Linked DNA regions of Schizosaccharomyces pombe. The protein of the gene in region 3 purifies or fractionates together with the protein of the main gene of each other region. This does not show direct contact. Each region holds a gene or a part of one and is shown on either strand. Other genes may lie near its edges.

Region 1 (4,581 bases), on a different chromosome or scaffold from region 3:
TGTCTTTGAGGGTTTAGAACCTCCCAAATCGGGTGTTATTAATGATTTGTTGGCTCAAATCTCTCGTCGTCTGACGCCTCAGCCCATTAAAATTCGTGCTGACGTTGAAGTCACTTGCTTTGGCTACGAAGGTATTAACGCTATCAAGGCCGCTTTGAAGGCTGCTGAAGATGTTCATACCGAGGAGGTTCCTATCAAAGTTAAACTTGTTGCTCCTCCACTTTACGTCCTTTTGACAAACGCATTAGATAAGTCATTGGGTCTCAAAAAGCTAGAAGAGGCAATTGGTGCAATCGAAAAATCCATTACAGCATCCAATGGTACCTGTACTGTTAAAATGAAACCCAAGGCGGTTAGTGAAACTGACGAATTGGAGCTTGCCGATTTGATGAAAAAATTTGAAAAGGAAAATGCTGAAATCTCTGGTGATGAAGAGGATGACCAAAGCGGTTCTGAGTAAATGGATTAGACACTAGCTAATATACGCTTTTTCATTGTGAATTTTTGGCACTTTAGTGTTCCATTATAATCTGGGGTTCTTTTTATTTTGTACTATACACTTTATCAAATTTATCTAGTGATATCTATGGTTAAAAAATTTCCTCTTCTTTTTTCCGAATGCGTAAGAGTTCTTTTATATGTTACGAGATAATATGAAAACGCTAGACGCTGCATCTTGTTCCTTTGTATGTACAATAATAAGTTCAGTTCCAATATAGTAGAAATAATGGACAACAAATGCAATTACAAATAATAAAGTTACAAAAGACTTATTACTGTGGTTAGCTACGGCGTGTAATATCTGCTTTGGGGAGGATTGGGGAAATTAAAGAACTGAATTTCTTAATGTACAAGTAATCTGGTACTTATTATGTGAGTGAAAAACAAACAAGGACAAGAATAAGATAAAAAGGATTCGTAATCGTGAAGATATGATTAATAAATTAACCATTTTGCAAATCACATATACACAGCTTGAACAACGTATAATCAAATATAGTAAGTTCGGAACAGGTGAAAAATTAGCGGATATTAAAGCCCAAAAAAAAACAACAATGCTTGCATTCAATAATGGGAAGACCAACAGACTTTAGATTGGGGAAAAATTACTTAGCATCAACAAGCTTCTGATCCCTACAAGCTTCGCAATACCATGTACCTTCAGGAGGAGCTTTAAGACCAACACACTCCATATGGAACCATTCACGCTCACAATTAGCATTGTCACAAGCGACCATTTGCCCATATGATCCTTGCTGGCAAAAACAATACTTTTCATTATCCTCTTCCATATCTTCTTCTGAGACCATTTCATTCGGCGTTGTGGAATCTGCCTTAGTTTCTAACTGGGTGGTTGCAGTGGCATTCGAAACCTTCTGACCGCGAGTTGAACCAGAATCTGCCAACGAAGCCGTATAAGGAGAGTGATAGACTCCATTTTGAATTGCACCCCTGGTAGTTGCTGAAGTACGACGGCGACCAGCTGTTGAGGCTCCCGACCGAGAAGGGGCCGGTGTTTGACGAGCACTTGAGGCACCACTTGGACTGTATCCACCATACGGTGAAGAAGCATAGTAGTCAGGAGCATTTAACAATTCCGCAGCTGTAAATCCATGACCGGCCTTTGCAAGTCTATCATCCAATCGCTTTATGTGCCGTGTAAGTCCCAATCTGGCACGATCCGCCAACTGGACTTTCTCGTTCTGTATATTAATTGCCTTTTGATACTCCTCGCGAATCGTCGAATACAAAGCATCTTCTTTTGGATGTGGGGTCAAGGAACCATGTGATTTAATGTATGACTGAATCTGAGAATCAGCTGCTTGAATTCTCTTCCAGATGTCATGTACAGCAACTTCCTTCACACTAATTTCGTCAAAGATGTGTTTTGTTTCGTTGGGAACATTATCCAACGTTTGCAAATACTCACTTAGTATGTAAGCTGTATCATCTGCCATTATTCTCAAATTGAAAATTATAGATACGTTCTAATTTCCGCTTTATGCAAAAATTATTATTATGATTTCAAATTCCAAAAGAAAGGGAGATTTGAGTCTTTTAAAGAGATAGGGAAAGTTGATATTCCACTAATATTTTCGATACTTCAATAACTAATGAATAAAAGATACTATGACTTTATCTTTTAAAGTAGAGGAATGTGACAATAAATGTACAAACGAGAAGGACAAAGACACTAATTGAAATAATATATATGAACCTATGGCTCGTTTTTGTGTCGTTTAAAGATTATTTTTACACTCTCTTAAGCTGCTGAAAATTTTTCCGGTTGTTTATAGTAGCCCACATTTGGTGTTGAGTTCCGCCACTCCATATAATGTAAACACAGTACTGGAAGGCAAAGAGGGCGAAATAAAAACATAAGAATTCACGCAAACCAAATCACTTTGAAGATAAATCTTTTCAACGTATGTATGATATCTAAGTTGCCAAATTGTCTATGAATTCACATGCTAAAGGTTACCATCTGTTTAAGTAATAACGATACGTTATTAATGTGTTAGTTCATATATGGAAGCATAACATACTAAACTACACCTAAGTTGGTAGCTTCCTTCTGTGTTCACTGAGATATACATTTTTAAGTTATAAGAATGAACCAGCACTAGCAATTCTTCAAAAAATTGTAAATCCTATTTGTTCTTGTGTTTATGGGCTTCAAAGAGTTTGAATTAACGCTTTGTTGAAGTTGTACATTTTATCTAATAAGGTATCGGGTTTAGCGACCTTTTGCTACGTATTCTGCGCTCGACGTAAAAATAAAGTATTTACAGTTCGTGTTGCTGTTTATTATTTGGATTGAATTCTTTTCTATAAAAAAATCTGGGTTGTTTTTCGATTTATATTAATTTGGCATTGGTCAATAACTTTCATTTCTCTTGTTTCTTCTGAAACAGTTATTAATTTGTTTCTTAATTTTATTTATTCTTTTCTTGTTCTTTCTTTAGAAAAGATATTTTCATTTAATTTGTCTCGCGGTTTTTTTTAGTATAATAGTCTGTATATCATGGATACTCCTGAGACATCCACACCTTATGAACAAGTTGAAAAGGGGTCTTTTTTTAGCTTTCGACCTCAAAAAAAGCGTGTCACATATCACTTAGATGAACAGGTGGGAAACTACCACTATGGTGACAAACATCCAATGAAGCCCCATCGAATTACCATTACAAATCATTTAGTGATGGGTTATGGGTTGCATAACAAAATGAGTGTATTCAGCCCCCGGATGGCAACTTTTGGTGAAATGTCAGAATTTCATAGGGAGGATTATTTGGATTTCCTTAAGCGCGTTACTCCTGATAATGCTGAACAATTTGCTGATAAGTTCCAACAATTCAATATTGGTGATGACTGTCCGGTCTTTGACGGCACTTATGAATTTTCTCAAAGGTCGGCAGGCGCTAGTTTGGATGCTTCTCGGAAGTTAGTGCAAGGTCAAACAGACATTGCTATCAATTGGAGCGGTGGTCTCCATCATGCAAAGCGTGGTGAGGCTAGTGGATTCTGCTATGTTAATGATATTGTTCTAGCAATTTTGAACATGCTACGGTTTTTTCCTCGCGTTTTGTATATCGATATCGATATTCATCATGGAGATGGTGTGCAGCAAGCATTCTATGAATCTGACCGCGTGTTGACGGTTTCTTTTCACAAGTATAATGGTGATTTTTTTCCTGCAACTGGTAATTTTGATGAAAATGGCGTGAAAGGAGGGAAATATTTTGCTTTAAACGTTCCTTTGGAAGATGGTATTGGTGATGAACAGTACACTAGTCTTTTCAAATCCATAATTGAACCAACTATCAATACTTTTCAACCTTCTGCAATTGTCCTTCAGTGTGGTGCTGATTCGCTTGGTTATGATCGGCTCGGCGTGTTCAATCTGAGCATCCATGCACATGGGGAATGTGTTAGATTTACCCGTTCATTCAATATACCCATGCTTGTAGTTGGAGGTGGTGGTTATACTCTTAGAAATGTTGCTAGAGCGTGGTGTTATGAAACTTCCATATGTGTAAACGAACAAATACCTTCAGAATTACCTCGTGAAACTTTGTATTACGAATTTTTCGCACCAGATTACACCCTCCATCCGCGATTAACCACGAAGATAGAAAATAAAAATACACCGAAAGCTCTTGAAGATCTTCGAATACGGGCCTTGGAGCAATTACGTTACTTAGGAGGAGCGCCAAGCGTTCAGATGCAGCAAATTCCACCAGACTTAACTGGGCATTTGGAAGAAGAAGACGAACGGTTGAATGATGAATACTTAGACAAAGCTGTGGATGTTCGCGTTCGAGGCTGATATTAATGAATTTTCGACTTTTTATTTGATATCCGTACAAACATCAAATAATTTTAGTTAATGTTTATAGACATTGTAAATATTAATAATTGACCCTATACGAAAATACGTTTACCATAGTGATTATGTATTATTTTTATAAACGATTATGCAAAAAAAAACACTAAATTTATTCCTCTTTGTCTAAACGAACTGCAGGGCTAGCCTCAATTAGGTCCAAGTTAACCTTAGGACCAATCAATTGTCTAATG
Region 2 (5,332 bases), on a different chromosome or scaffold from region 3:
GTCGTAAATTTTGAATGATTTCCTTGAATAACGTCAAAAGCATAAAAAATATCGTGTACAATTACGTTGACCGCCAGTTTTTCAAGCCAGAAGTAAGCTTCTTCGCGGAGTTCATCAACCGTCGTAGCAAAAAAAAGTCCATATGTAGCCGAGGCCAAAATTATGGTTTCATCTGAATCATCACTCAGTTGGGTGAATGAACTCCTTCCAGTCATTCGGCTCGGTATTACAGAATATGGTCGTCGAAAATCAAAATTACTCTTAGAAATCTTGTCTGCAGTACATCGAATGGATGAGGCTAAGCTGTTAGTAGCGTCACTCTTATAAACATAGAGCTTTGAAATATTGCAAACATAAGTGAACGCTTGTTGCTTAACCTCCAGATCACTAGAAGGGCTAGAAAGCAAATTCACAGCCTCATCAACATATTGGGTGTAATGTAAAAGTTGTGGTTGTTTAACCCCTTTTATCGAAAGAAGTAAAGTAAAATCGTTATTCGGTTCCGGCGAATTCTTTAAACTCTGGACTCTATCAAGAAGCTTCCTATTTCTTCCACCAAGTTTACCAAGTATTTTCAAGGCAGTATGGCTGTGATTATAATTATAAGGAAGAGGTTGTAGATGACTCCATAAAGCATTCATTAGATCTTCTATGTAAGGAGCCATTATCGGATCCAAAAAATCAGGAGTGAGATTATCCAAGCATAATTCAAAGGTTCGTAATCCCTGACTAACTAATTCTTGACTGCTTTTTAAAGACATGACGAGAGGTCTCATTAGATAACTCATGTATGGTAATAAAAGACTAAGCCTTACAGGAATAGTAAGACAAAGTTCGGTAAAAAGGTCTTTCTCCTTCGGAGTACGGGCAGATATAAGCAATGAATTAAATGCCTCTAATAGAGCGTGCAACAAAGGCATTACTTCTTTATAAAGGCTTTCAAATCTTCCCCCACCAATTCCTCGGAACAACGCTCTTAATAGATAATAGTAGTTCAATGAATTAGCAGAATTGGGAGCCAACTTCATACATTTCACAATAATTTCAGATACATAAGGCCGAAGAACTGGCTCATTCTCTGTTGCAAACATTGAGACTGTAACGAAAGAAAGACGAAACAAACGCAACAAGACAGAACCATGCCTGATGTCAGAAGATCCGAGTTCCTCAATTCTGGAAAGCAGAAATCGAAGTAAAATATTTAAAAATTTTGATGATGTGCTCTCATTTGAAAGCAAAAACTGTGGAATGTGAAATAATGTGAGATTTTTTTTAAGTTGATCAAAAAAAGTAGGAAGGTTTGTTTCAAAAACTTTAAGAAATATAGATGGCTCGAGATGTATAAAAATGGTAGCAAATACTTCAAGACAATCTTTCTCGTCTTTGTTACGAGGAAGCGTAGATATAGCAGGGCGATCTAAACTTTCTTCTTCGCAGCAGAAAAAAGTTTCTAAATAGACTTGCTCAGGTCGAAAATATGAGAATCCTTTGCCAACCTCAAAAAAAAGCTTCTGAAACGTAACAGCTTCGAAAGGCTTGATATTCGTAAGGAATCCCGAAAATTGTTCACCTCCAATTTCTATGCATCGAGACTTGCATGTACGAAGCCCATACATAAGAGCCCGTAAGCCAAACATCAAGTTTTTAAAAAGAAATGATCCATCATTGACGGAAGTGCTAAATGAAGATAAATCCCTAGGAGAAGAACGCGTCGGTGACTTTGTCTCTTTAATTTCTTCTTCATACTTTTTCTTAAAAAACTGATCCAAACTATCATTAAGTTCCGAAAACTTATTTACAAAGCTATCAAAAATAGATAAAAGAAGAAATATAGCATCGGGGATGCTAGGAAGACTAATCATTCTGTCAACCATGTTTAAAATGAGCCGGGCACCCATAGTCTGTAACCCAATGCTAAGAGTCAAATCATGCATATTGGTCGAATAAATCATTATAGATTTTCTTATTTGCGTTTCGTTAAGTTCGTCACGTACATGATGAAGTAAGTCAGCTAATGTACTAAATGCCAAGGGACGTAACAGCTTTTGAGTACCAACTCCATTTCCTAATAATATATTTAAATCTAACAAAAAATCCAGCTTTTTGACAAAAAGAGATTTTAAGTTTGTTGACAGAATATGTCTCGTAGCAACCAGCAGTTCTTTACGGGCAAAACACATATCAAAAGGGCATCGCCTCAAAAGCTTTATTACAATGTCCGGTATTATATCCTTCTCAGAAAGTGTATTGGGATGAGTTCGTAAAATATAAGCCAAGAAAGATAAAGTCTTTACTTGAGCCATAAAAAAATTACGGTACTGATATTTATTCCTTATAAACTCAATAAAGTCAATGCTTGAATCTTTTTCAATCATTGCATATGAAGCGATGTCTATTGGAACATCAATTTGTACCATCTTAAGAAAACAGGGAATTATGGCTTGAACACCAGGGAAAGCAGCTTGACGATATGCTTGAAGAATCAAAACTATAATGACCGGACACTCTACATACACGCGGAAACTTTGAGAAGCCAGTTCCAAAGGTTGAGTAGAAATAGCTAAAGAATTGACACGCTGTTGGATGATTGAAGTTTCCGTAGACAGATAACTACCAAAAGCCAGGGTTGTATTTTCCTCTTCATTTGATTTTGGATTCTCGACAAATATTGAGGGAATTAAATAAGGAAGGTTTGTAGAAAGCTCAAGTACCAAGTCAAAAAAGGGTTGTGCAGTGCTTTCTATACAAAACTTAAAAGTTTTGAATATATCCATAATAACTTTTAAGCAAAAAACAGCGACTTCTTCATTATCTGCTTTAATCAAGCTAATGAACGAAAGCACACAAGACTGCGCATATTGTTTAAATTCATCACGGTGAGCGCAACTTTGTATTAAAGTCAATGCTTCGATCTTGAGTTCATTGACAGAAGAATTTCTATAAAGATTCACCTCTGTATTTCGTAAAAAATCCAAGAGTAGTGGAATTAATTCTGCATACAGCTGCGAGGCGTCTGAAGATATGCTAGAAACCTTAGTAATTAAAATTTTAGTTAGTTTGATTTTTTCTTCTATTTCTTAAAAAAAGTTAGTATAAAATAAAAAAATGAATCAAAATATCTACAAAAATTTATATACCTGTACTTTCAGCTTTCAGTAGCTCTATAGAGCTGCTGAGCGACTTTTCAAAACCGTCTTCCATAACAAAGTTCGGTCCATGCAGATACTTTTTAATAAATCTTTGAAACCAAACTTGATACACTACGAGATTTTGGACACAGCTGTAAAAAAGCACAGAACGATTACTGTCAGATGTTGTTTAGTTGTTGCTATGTTCAAGGTGAATCGTATAGTGAGGACGCAAAACTGCACTATTCAAGAAGCCACTGAAGCTATTTGAAATCGACGTGAGTGTAATTTTTATCAAATACAATATAATACTGCTTTATAAACTATGACATGTTTGTACGATATAGAAGGTTTTTAAGAAGGAAAATATTATACAGATTTTATCATGCAGTTATCGGGTTTTTCTACAAACGGTTCCGGTTCCTTGAATACCATTGTATGTGAAAAACTTCTTTTCAAGCCTAACTTTGTTCAAGATTCTTTTATAATAGGAATGACTATTTTATGTTCAGTAATATTGTATGGGTCGGGAAATTTGCGCTACATAGATGCTTTGTTGTTGGCTTCTGGTTCTTGTACTCAGACTGGCTTGCAGCCTGTGGACCTCACGCAGATATCCATTTACCAACAGGTATGCATATTTTTAAATAAATTTTTTAACTATTTTTTAGTTAACTATTCTCCTTTTTGGAGTTTTGAGTACACCAATTACTGTGAACCTGGGCTTGACTTTGTTTAAGCTGTACTTCTATAACAAGCGATATGACATGGTCATAACAAATAATAAACTTAGGATGACATATACTTATCACACTGTAAGAAGAAGGGATACTCCAGAGCCTTCCAAAGTTGGCAATCGAAAAATTCGGGTTTTGTTAGACCAGGGTAATCAAATGCACCGGCCAGTTGCCCCAGAGACTAAGGCTGAGGAAGCTGAACACCAAGAGAATGAAAAACATCACAGGCACCATTTTCGTCTAAGGAAATTTGCTAATGCAATCGATCGCCCAAGCTTCTTTCGCGGGAATACCATGCCCGCTCTCCCTAGTTATGCAGGTGTTAGAAATTCTCAAGAAAATGAAGACAGAACTGAAGCATTAAGTCCAGCTCTTGGGAAACGAAGAATGGCATCAATCGACAATGGATCTTTATCCGTTGTACAAAACAATGCTAGAAATAATCCTGTCGACTTTTACATTCCTAGTTCGTTTGAAGAATCATCTTTTCAAACAATTCCTGAGGATTTTGAGCCTCAAGTACATGACCACGAGAATCAAACACAACTGAACCATCATCTGGATAACAACAGTTCTATCTCTTCGCACAATCCTTCCCTAGAAACTGCAAATGATGGTAATCAGGAAACTGTTTCATCCTCAAACTCAAACTACAGCACAACAAGAGTTGACAATGATCCACATGTAGCATCTTATTCACCTCAAAATTCGAATTTTGATCATCAGGCTGCTGCAACTACTAACGATGCACATCAAAATGTAGTACGCGGCTCTGCAATTACCATTGCACCAACCCCTGTTCCCAGGCATAATCGCAGGCCTATATATTTTGCTGGTAAGTCATTCCGTGATTTTAATATTGACCTTTAGATGACACGAATGGAGCTGAGCAGGAAAAAGGTGCTCATCGACTTGATGGACGAGGTAGAAAACGTGGTAAATCATTTGCTGTTACACCTACACTTCACAGGAATGAGCGCTCAATGTCTGTCCTACCATTTCAATTAGCCAAATCATTTACATCTGCTCTTCCTCGAAGACTCACATTCAACCGTACTCACACGAAAGCTAGCACAATGAGTTTACCTTATTTATCGTACAATGCAACAGTGGGCAGAAATTCTGCATTTTATGCCTTAACTCCAGTGGAGAGAGAAGAATTGGCGGGAATTGAATATGAATCTCTCAGGATATTGACTGTCATATTAGTGGTTTATTTTCTGTTTTGGCATATTCTTGGTTTGGTTGCGTTCCTAATATTCATTTATACTGCTAAAACATCCGGTCGTGTAGTTACGGACGGCGGTATAAATAGAGGCTGGTGGGCAGCGTTTACTTCTAGTTCGCTGTTTGATAATCTAGGCTATTCGTTGAACAGCGATTCTTTAAATTCCTTTCAAAAAGCCATATTTCCTCAGGTTCTTGGAACTATTCTGATATTTTTAGGGAATACTTTCTTTCCAATTA
Region 3 (5,854 bases):
AATATTACCAAAGCAATATATCAATTAGTACCTTGACTGATTTATTATTGCAGATGTTTTATATCTTCGTTTGGTAGTGTTGAAGTTTACGTGACTAAAGAAGTTGTTGGTAAATAGTTAAGTGTAAACAATGAAGTGAATAGTATGCATGTGAGTATTACTAGTTTTTTATTTTCATAAAAGCTAAACAGTAAATCTATTAATCATTCATATACTTAATGACTTTAATTGAATCCCCAAAGTCGTTATGATGAACCTAAAATTTGTCAGTTCAGTTAAAAAAGTTGTTTCAAGTTTTTTATAATTGAAAGTAACAACAATAAAAAGATAAAGGTTATTGATATTCAATTAAGTCGATAATTTCTAAATCTCCTACTGCAATCATAATTGCTAGAAGTACGCCTTATTAACACATACTATGGAAACTAAGAGTGAGCATTATAAATTCGATATGACTCTTCTTCATATTTGCTATTGTATCTTGTAGCAATGAGAGAGACATATAGTTAGTGGATGATTTTCTAAAAAATAAGCTCAGAGAACTAAAGTAAATGGTTATAGAACAAAAAGGAAAGAAACCAATAAATATATAATCAACAACCCAACGCAATGACTTAGTCTGAAATTTTTCCAAAACTACTTAAAAAGCTAAAAATGTATTCAATTTGAATACGAATTCGATAAGTCGTTAAGACATAAACTTCGTACATCGTATATTTATTATATGCTAAATTAAAAAAGCTGAACAATGAATTGAATGTCATTAAAAAAGTCATTAACCACATGCAAGTCTAAAAAAGCGGGATCACCAAAAATTTTGTAACAATTCACCGATTCAACTAGTACAGTATCAAATAAATTAGCGACGATAAAGAATCTATGCATGCATAAAACCAGGGTTGGACTGTAGAAGCAAAATCAAATCTTGTGAGCCAAAAAAAAAGCTGACTATGCTTTCAAGTCAATTCCCCCTATTAAATTTTTTATTTGGACAAACAAAAATCATAAAAATGAATAAACACTATTTTTCTAAAGAGAAAAATAGATTATACCCCAAATCCCTTCAAGAAATCAATCAAAATCTTAAATAAGCTAGTCGAGGAGAAATAGTTAAAATAAAATTTGATCGAAATCTTTAGTAATGGAAATATTATAAATACCATAGATAAAAAGCGTTTTATGACTGAGTACCCATATCATCGTTTAGCAAGCTAGCTCGAAACATTATAGAAGCATCAGATTCATCATCGAGTATAATTGTGTCATCGGCATCAAAGGGAATGTCAAAAAGCCATCGATCTTCAACACGAGATTTTGGTTTACTCAACCGATGTACTGGCAATGCACGAGTGCGATCCAACATCAAACGCCCTCCACGTCCTATTCGTTGTCGAACGCAGATGGGATTTCTGGGATGTAATAAAGTGCTATAGCCGTATAAAGAGTTATTTGAAGAGAATGAAAGTGAATCGCACGTATTAAAATTAGATAGGGAAGAGTGAGGTGTAGAGTAGGTGGGTCCATTATCAGATAATGGAGTCGAAGGGGTTGAGGAAGGAATACTCAGTTGATTATGGGATTGTTTCGTTTCTTTTCCTGAATAATATGGAATAATGTTTCGGTAAAACGAATCGGGATAATTAGTATGAATAACGGTACTAGGCGTCTCCAAAAGGTCAACCCAATTACGATCGAGCTGTTCCTTCTTGGTAAGACGTTGCTGAAGACGAATCTGAAATTGTGTAATTTGGGCTGATTGAACATCATCAAGCATTAATAACGGTCGAACTTCGACATTTCGCGTAGGTTGTGGGCGATAGGAAGCAGGGTGAGGAGAAGTTTTTACAGGTGGAGCTGGAGTAGGTACAGGGGCGGCGGGCTTTACCTCAATAGGACGTCGTTTAGGATTGATTAAAAGTTCATCACTGTCTTTTATATTTAGAGTACGTTTAAGCTTTTTGACAAGACAGCGCTTCTGGAAAATAGCATAGTCGTCTTCAAGCGCTTGCAGCTTCTTTTGCTCACGTTTGTACACTTGTTCCAGTAACTGAAGACTTGTCTCCATGCTTTGTCGTAACCTCCGTAAGCGATCATAAGACTGAGCGTCCGACCGACGAGTTTTGCGAGCCTGTCGAATTTCACGACGACGAAAACAAACATATGGATCATCATCATCCTTATCATCGCCAACTTGTGCTTTAGCCATAATTGGAAGACCACCCTTACTGATACGACGCTCACGCCAATAAGGGTATACTTGACTAGCTAGTGGTTTCAAGTACAGTACATCTTTTAACTCGAAGGAGGTGATGAGCTCAGACAAAGGCAATATTTGAGAGGTATCCATGCTCAAAAAAGGCTGATTTTGATTAATTTCCTCTTCAAACGTCTGCATGACAATTTCAAAATCTAATTCAGAAAATTTGGAAAGAGAAGGTTGAGCCTGTTTCAACTTCAGAAAATATTCCGTATCATGTTCATCCATGCAATATTCTGGGTTTGTACATTCTTCCACAGTGAGAGAAAACCGAATTAATGTCTTAGGAAGAATGAAATTCTTTTTGTAATATTTGTCAATTATACCTATATTTTTAGCCTCCCGTGTAGGGATAATAAGCTTTTTTTCAGATCCACGCACAATGGCCTCATGGGCTTCATTGATGACTTGTTGCAAATGTTTTTCCTATAAATTGTTAGAAATCTAAGTAATCGAAGATGAATGAAAAGCGATAAGAAAAAGGACAGCTGTATTCCAAAAACAATAAATAATCAAATAAATAAGCATTGCTAGAAACATAACCCAAAACATTCATTAGCCACAATAATGAAGTAGCAATCTTTTCTCAGTAAAATCAAATTTAGAATAAAAACTAAAAAGGTTCAATGAATCCGTTGAAAAAAAAAAAAAAACCTCAAAATTCGTGAAAGAAGGAGCATCAATATTTTTCAAGTAACTTTTAATTCTCAGTTTACTAATCTTTACAAGAGTAACTTTAACACAAACAAACTAGCAAGTTTAAAAAATTCAGAAATTCGATGCAACTCCGCTCAAATCATAATTTTCCGCATAACCCTTCGTATACATTGTAAAACGGTGATTAAGCACCTTTAAAAAGAGTGTTTATTTTTGTCAACGAAATCCATCAAGAAGCCAAGGTTTTTCGTACTTTTCATTATCTTTCACATTCTCGGGTTCGCACTTACCTCTTCCTCTTCTTTTTCAACACCAGATTCCACCAAGGGAACTGTCCGCTGAAGTGAAGCTTCTTCATCAAAGTCAGGTATATCACGTTCGAAATAAATCGGCATAACGGTTTTAATACCGACCTTCCGTTGACGATATGCCCTAGCATTTTTGGAGACGGAACTCATGATAATATTGGTATCGTTGGACTCCAATCACTTAAATCTATCCAACCGTAAAATTATAAGATACTCGTCTCACTCAAAATCTTGTAGAAACAGGCGCTAAATCCTGGCGTAGTTGACGGCCGTCGTCGTTGGTGTGTCAAACCACTAGGGGTTAACAAACCGAATGAAATTTTTCATAAACCTCTTCACTGCGATAATTTACCGAGGAGCAACGTAACCAAAAATAATTTTCTAATACGCTCGTACCGTTAATATACAACGTATTGTAGCGATATTTACTGGAGATTCCAGGTGTAAACAATGGAAGAAACCGATGGCAGGAGAAACAAAAGAGGAAATTGTCAACCATCAGTTGAAGTGAAGTCCATAAAACTCCATAGTGAATTATAAGGAATCAAGTTCTATCATAGTTCATCTTATTGACGTCGGAAAACCCTCGTCAATACTCAATAGAAAAAAAGCATTACTAATTCAAAAGAAAAGTCATGATCTGCTAGTATTCGTAGTCTCTAGTAGCAGAAAAAAGCACTTGATTTTTACTTTCAATGCGTGTTATAGACCATGAATAGGCATTTCTGTTAGAATAATAAACTGTTCGCAGCAGAGCCAGGTGGAACATAGAAGTAAACAGCGGAATAAATTCTACATTTTTTTCCACTAACGAAGATGTTTTCCGTATCTCATCAATTATCTATGCCAACTGCGCATAGTATAGGGTGAGAAAAATGAATGTCTTTTTCAAAACGAAGCAAGTTGTAGACAAACATTTTCAACGTTCCACATTTGCTTTTTCCAGAAACCAAGCCCTTTTCAGGAAGATTAAAATTTGATTTAAAAACATGAATTGCAATCTTTCAAATATTCGAAAGTCCTTTCAAATACTTACCAAACATGTCGAAAAATTGCTCATTCTCAGATTTTGCTTCCTTCATAATCTTAAGCTCATATGGTAAAGCTTAATCAGCATAAAACTGCTAAAGCAGTTTAAAAAAAATTTGGTCATCAGAAAGAATAAAGGTTAAAGGTATTTAGTTTTGAAAAATTACAAAACCTCGCCTTTAAAAATCCAAGATGCAGAAACAGCCATCTCCAAAGCAATTATGAATTGCTCTAAACCTCAATTCTTTGTCGTTTTTAAGCCGGATTTTCGTTTGATGCATCCTTTCTAAAAATGAAAAGCTGCCATTGCAGTTGAATTTTCAATTACAAGCTTACAGATAATTTTCATAGCTATTTTTTTGCACAACCCAACATGTTTTCAAGTCATTTTTTGAAATTTACGGATTCCACGATTATCTTTGAGATTGGTGGAAGACAAAGTGTGCCAAGTGACATTCGACCCTTACATTCAGAAGGATTTTGACTCAAACTACCACCACCGATATAAGGAATTTTCTTTGAAAGGTAGCTGACCGTTATATTCTTGGTTTGTTAATTGAACCTTACTCATTTCATATTATTGTGTTTCCCTCTCATGGGTCAGTCGCAGTCGCAAATCTTTGAGGACTTGATCTCAAATTCATCCTGTAAGTTTGATGCTTAGTACGTGTGGCCAAAAGTGTTCTTATCATTATATTTTTTCATGTTAGAATACTTACATCTCTTGTCGTCTATTTCTTTTTAAGATTATAGCCAATTCATCAAAGTTGCCGGTTTCACATGCACAATGCAAAAGTATTAGCACCTCAAAGCGACTCGGCTAACGTTCATTGTATCTAGTTTCCAATGAGGAGATAGAAAGAATTCGCAAGCGTTTTATTAAAATAGATGCTAACCAATCTGGCTCTATTGACCGAAACGAATTTTTGTCGATTCCCAGTGTAGCTTCTAACCCACTTGCTTCCAGACTGTTTTCAGTTGTAGACGAAGACGGTGGAGGAGATGTGGACTTTCAAGAATTTATTAATAGCCTTTCTGTATTTTCAGTGCATGGCAATAAAGAGGAAAAGCTGAAGTGTAAGCTCAATCAACTTGTCGTTCCTTTGCAAATTATGTTCTAACATTATTGTTTTATCTAGTTGCCTTCAAGATTTATGATATTGACCGTGATGGTTATATTTCAAACGGAGAACTTTATCTAGTTCTGAAAATGATGGTTGGCACGAATCTTCGGGAAGATCAATTGCAGCAGGTATGTTATAGACAAAACCTCTTATCTCAAAATCTGACTCCTATTATAACTAGATTGTTGACAAAACCATTATGGAAGTTGATAAGGATCGCGATGGAAAAATTAGCTTTGAAGAGTTCAAAGATATTGTCAGCGGTTCCAACGTTACTAGTAGCATGACACTCGATTCTTTTTGATGAGCATACTTAAAATTAAAACTGATCCTTGTTTCCTCCCTTCTTTCGTTTTGTCGAACGCAATTACGAGTTTGACTAAAGATTCCTTTTACACATTTTGTTTTATCGTCTTCATTCCTTGCATCTGTATTTCGAATTTTATAAATGCATACTATTACATTTCTTTTCCTACTTG

The links.
Region 1: the proteins of epl1 (region 3) and png1 purify together in Schizosaccharomyces pombe (affinity purification with mass spectrometry, with the first as the bait; one study listed by BioGRID). This does not show direct contact.
Region 2: the proteins of epl1 (region 3) and tra2 purify together in Schizosaccharomyces pombe (affinity purification with mass spectrometry; 2 studies listed by BioGRID). This does not show direct contact.

What each region holds. Positions count from the first base shown.
Region 1 is NC_003424.3:3,167,085-3,171,665, forward strand, and holds png1 (chromatin modification-related protein), read right to left. Parts: upstream 2,304-4,581; 5' UTR 1,959-2,303; coding exon 1,107-1,958; 3' UTR 810-1,106; downstream 1-809. Other genes in the region: tif211 (translation initiation factor eIF2 alpha subunit), read left to right, coding at 1-460; class 1 histone deacetylase Hos2, read left to right, coding at 3,026-4,330; phenylalanine--tRNA (Phe) ligase alpha subunit Frs2, read right to left, coding at 4,500-4,581. UniProt on the Schizosaccharomyces pombe protein: Component of a histone deacetylase complex responsible for the deacetylation of lysine residues on the N-terminal part of the core histones (H2A, H2B, H3 and H4).
Region 2 is NC_003424.3:257,588-262,919, reverse strand, and holds the start of tra2 (phosphatidylinositol kinase-like protein Tra2), read right to left. Parts: upstream 3,310-5,332; 5' UTR 3,202-3,309; coding exon 3,138-3,201; intron 3,077-3,137; coding exon 1-3,076. Other genes in the region: plasma membrane potassium ion transmembrane transporter Trk2, read left to right, coding at 3,459-3,564, 3,605-3,759, 3,800-4,700, 4,736-5,332.
Region 3 is NC_003421.2:2,187,358-2,193,211, forward strand, and holds epl1 (NuA4 histone acetyltransferase core complex-Piccolo HAT module linker protein Epl1), read right to left. Parts: upstream 3,519-5,854; 5' UTR 3,373-3,518; coding exon 3,205-3,372; exon of another isoform or gene 2,998-3,204; intron 2,684-2,997; coding exon 1,178-2,683; 3' UTR 726-1,177; downstream 1-725. Other genes in the region: cnb1 (calcineurin regulatory subunit B), read left to right, coding at 4,847-4,898, 5,092-5,328, 5,391-5,503, 5,557-5,679. UniProt on the Schizosaccharomyces pombe protein: Component of the NuA4 histone acetyltransferase complex which is involved in transcriptional activation of selected genes principally by acetylation of nucleosomal histone H4 and H2A. The NuA4 complex is also involved in DNA repair.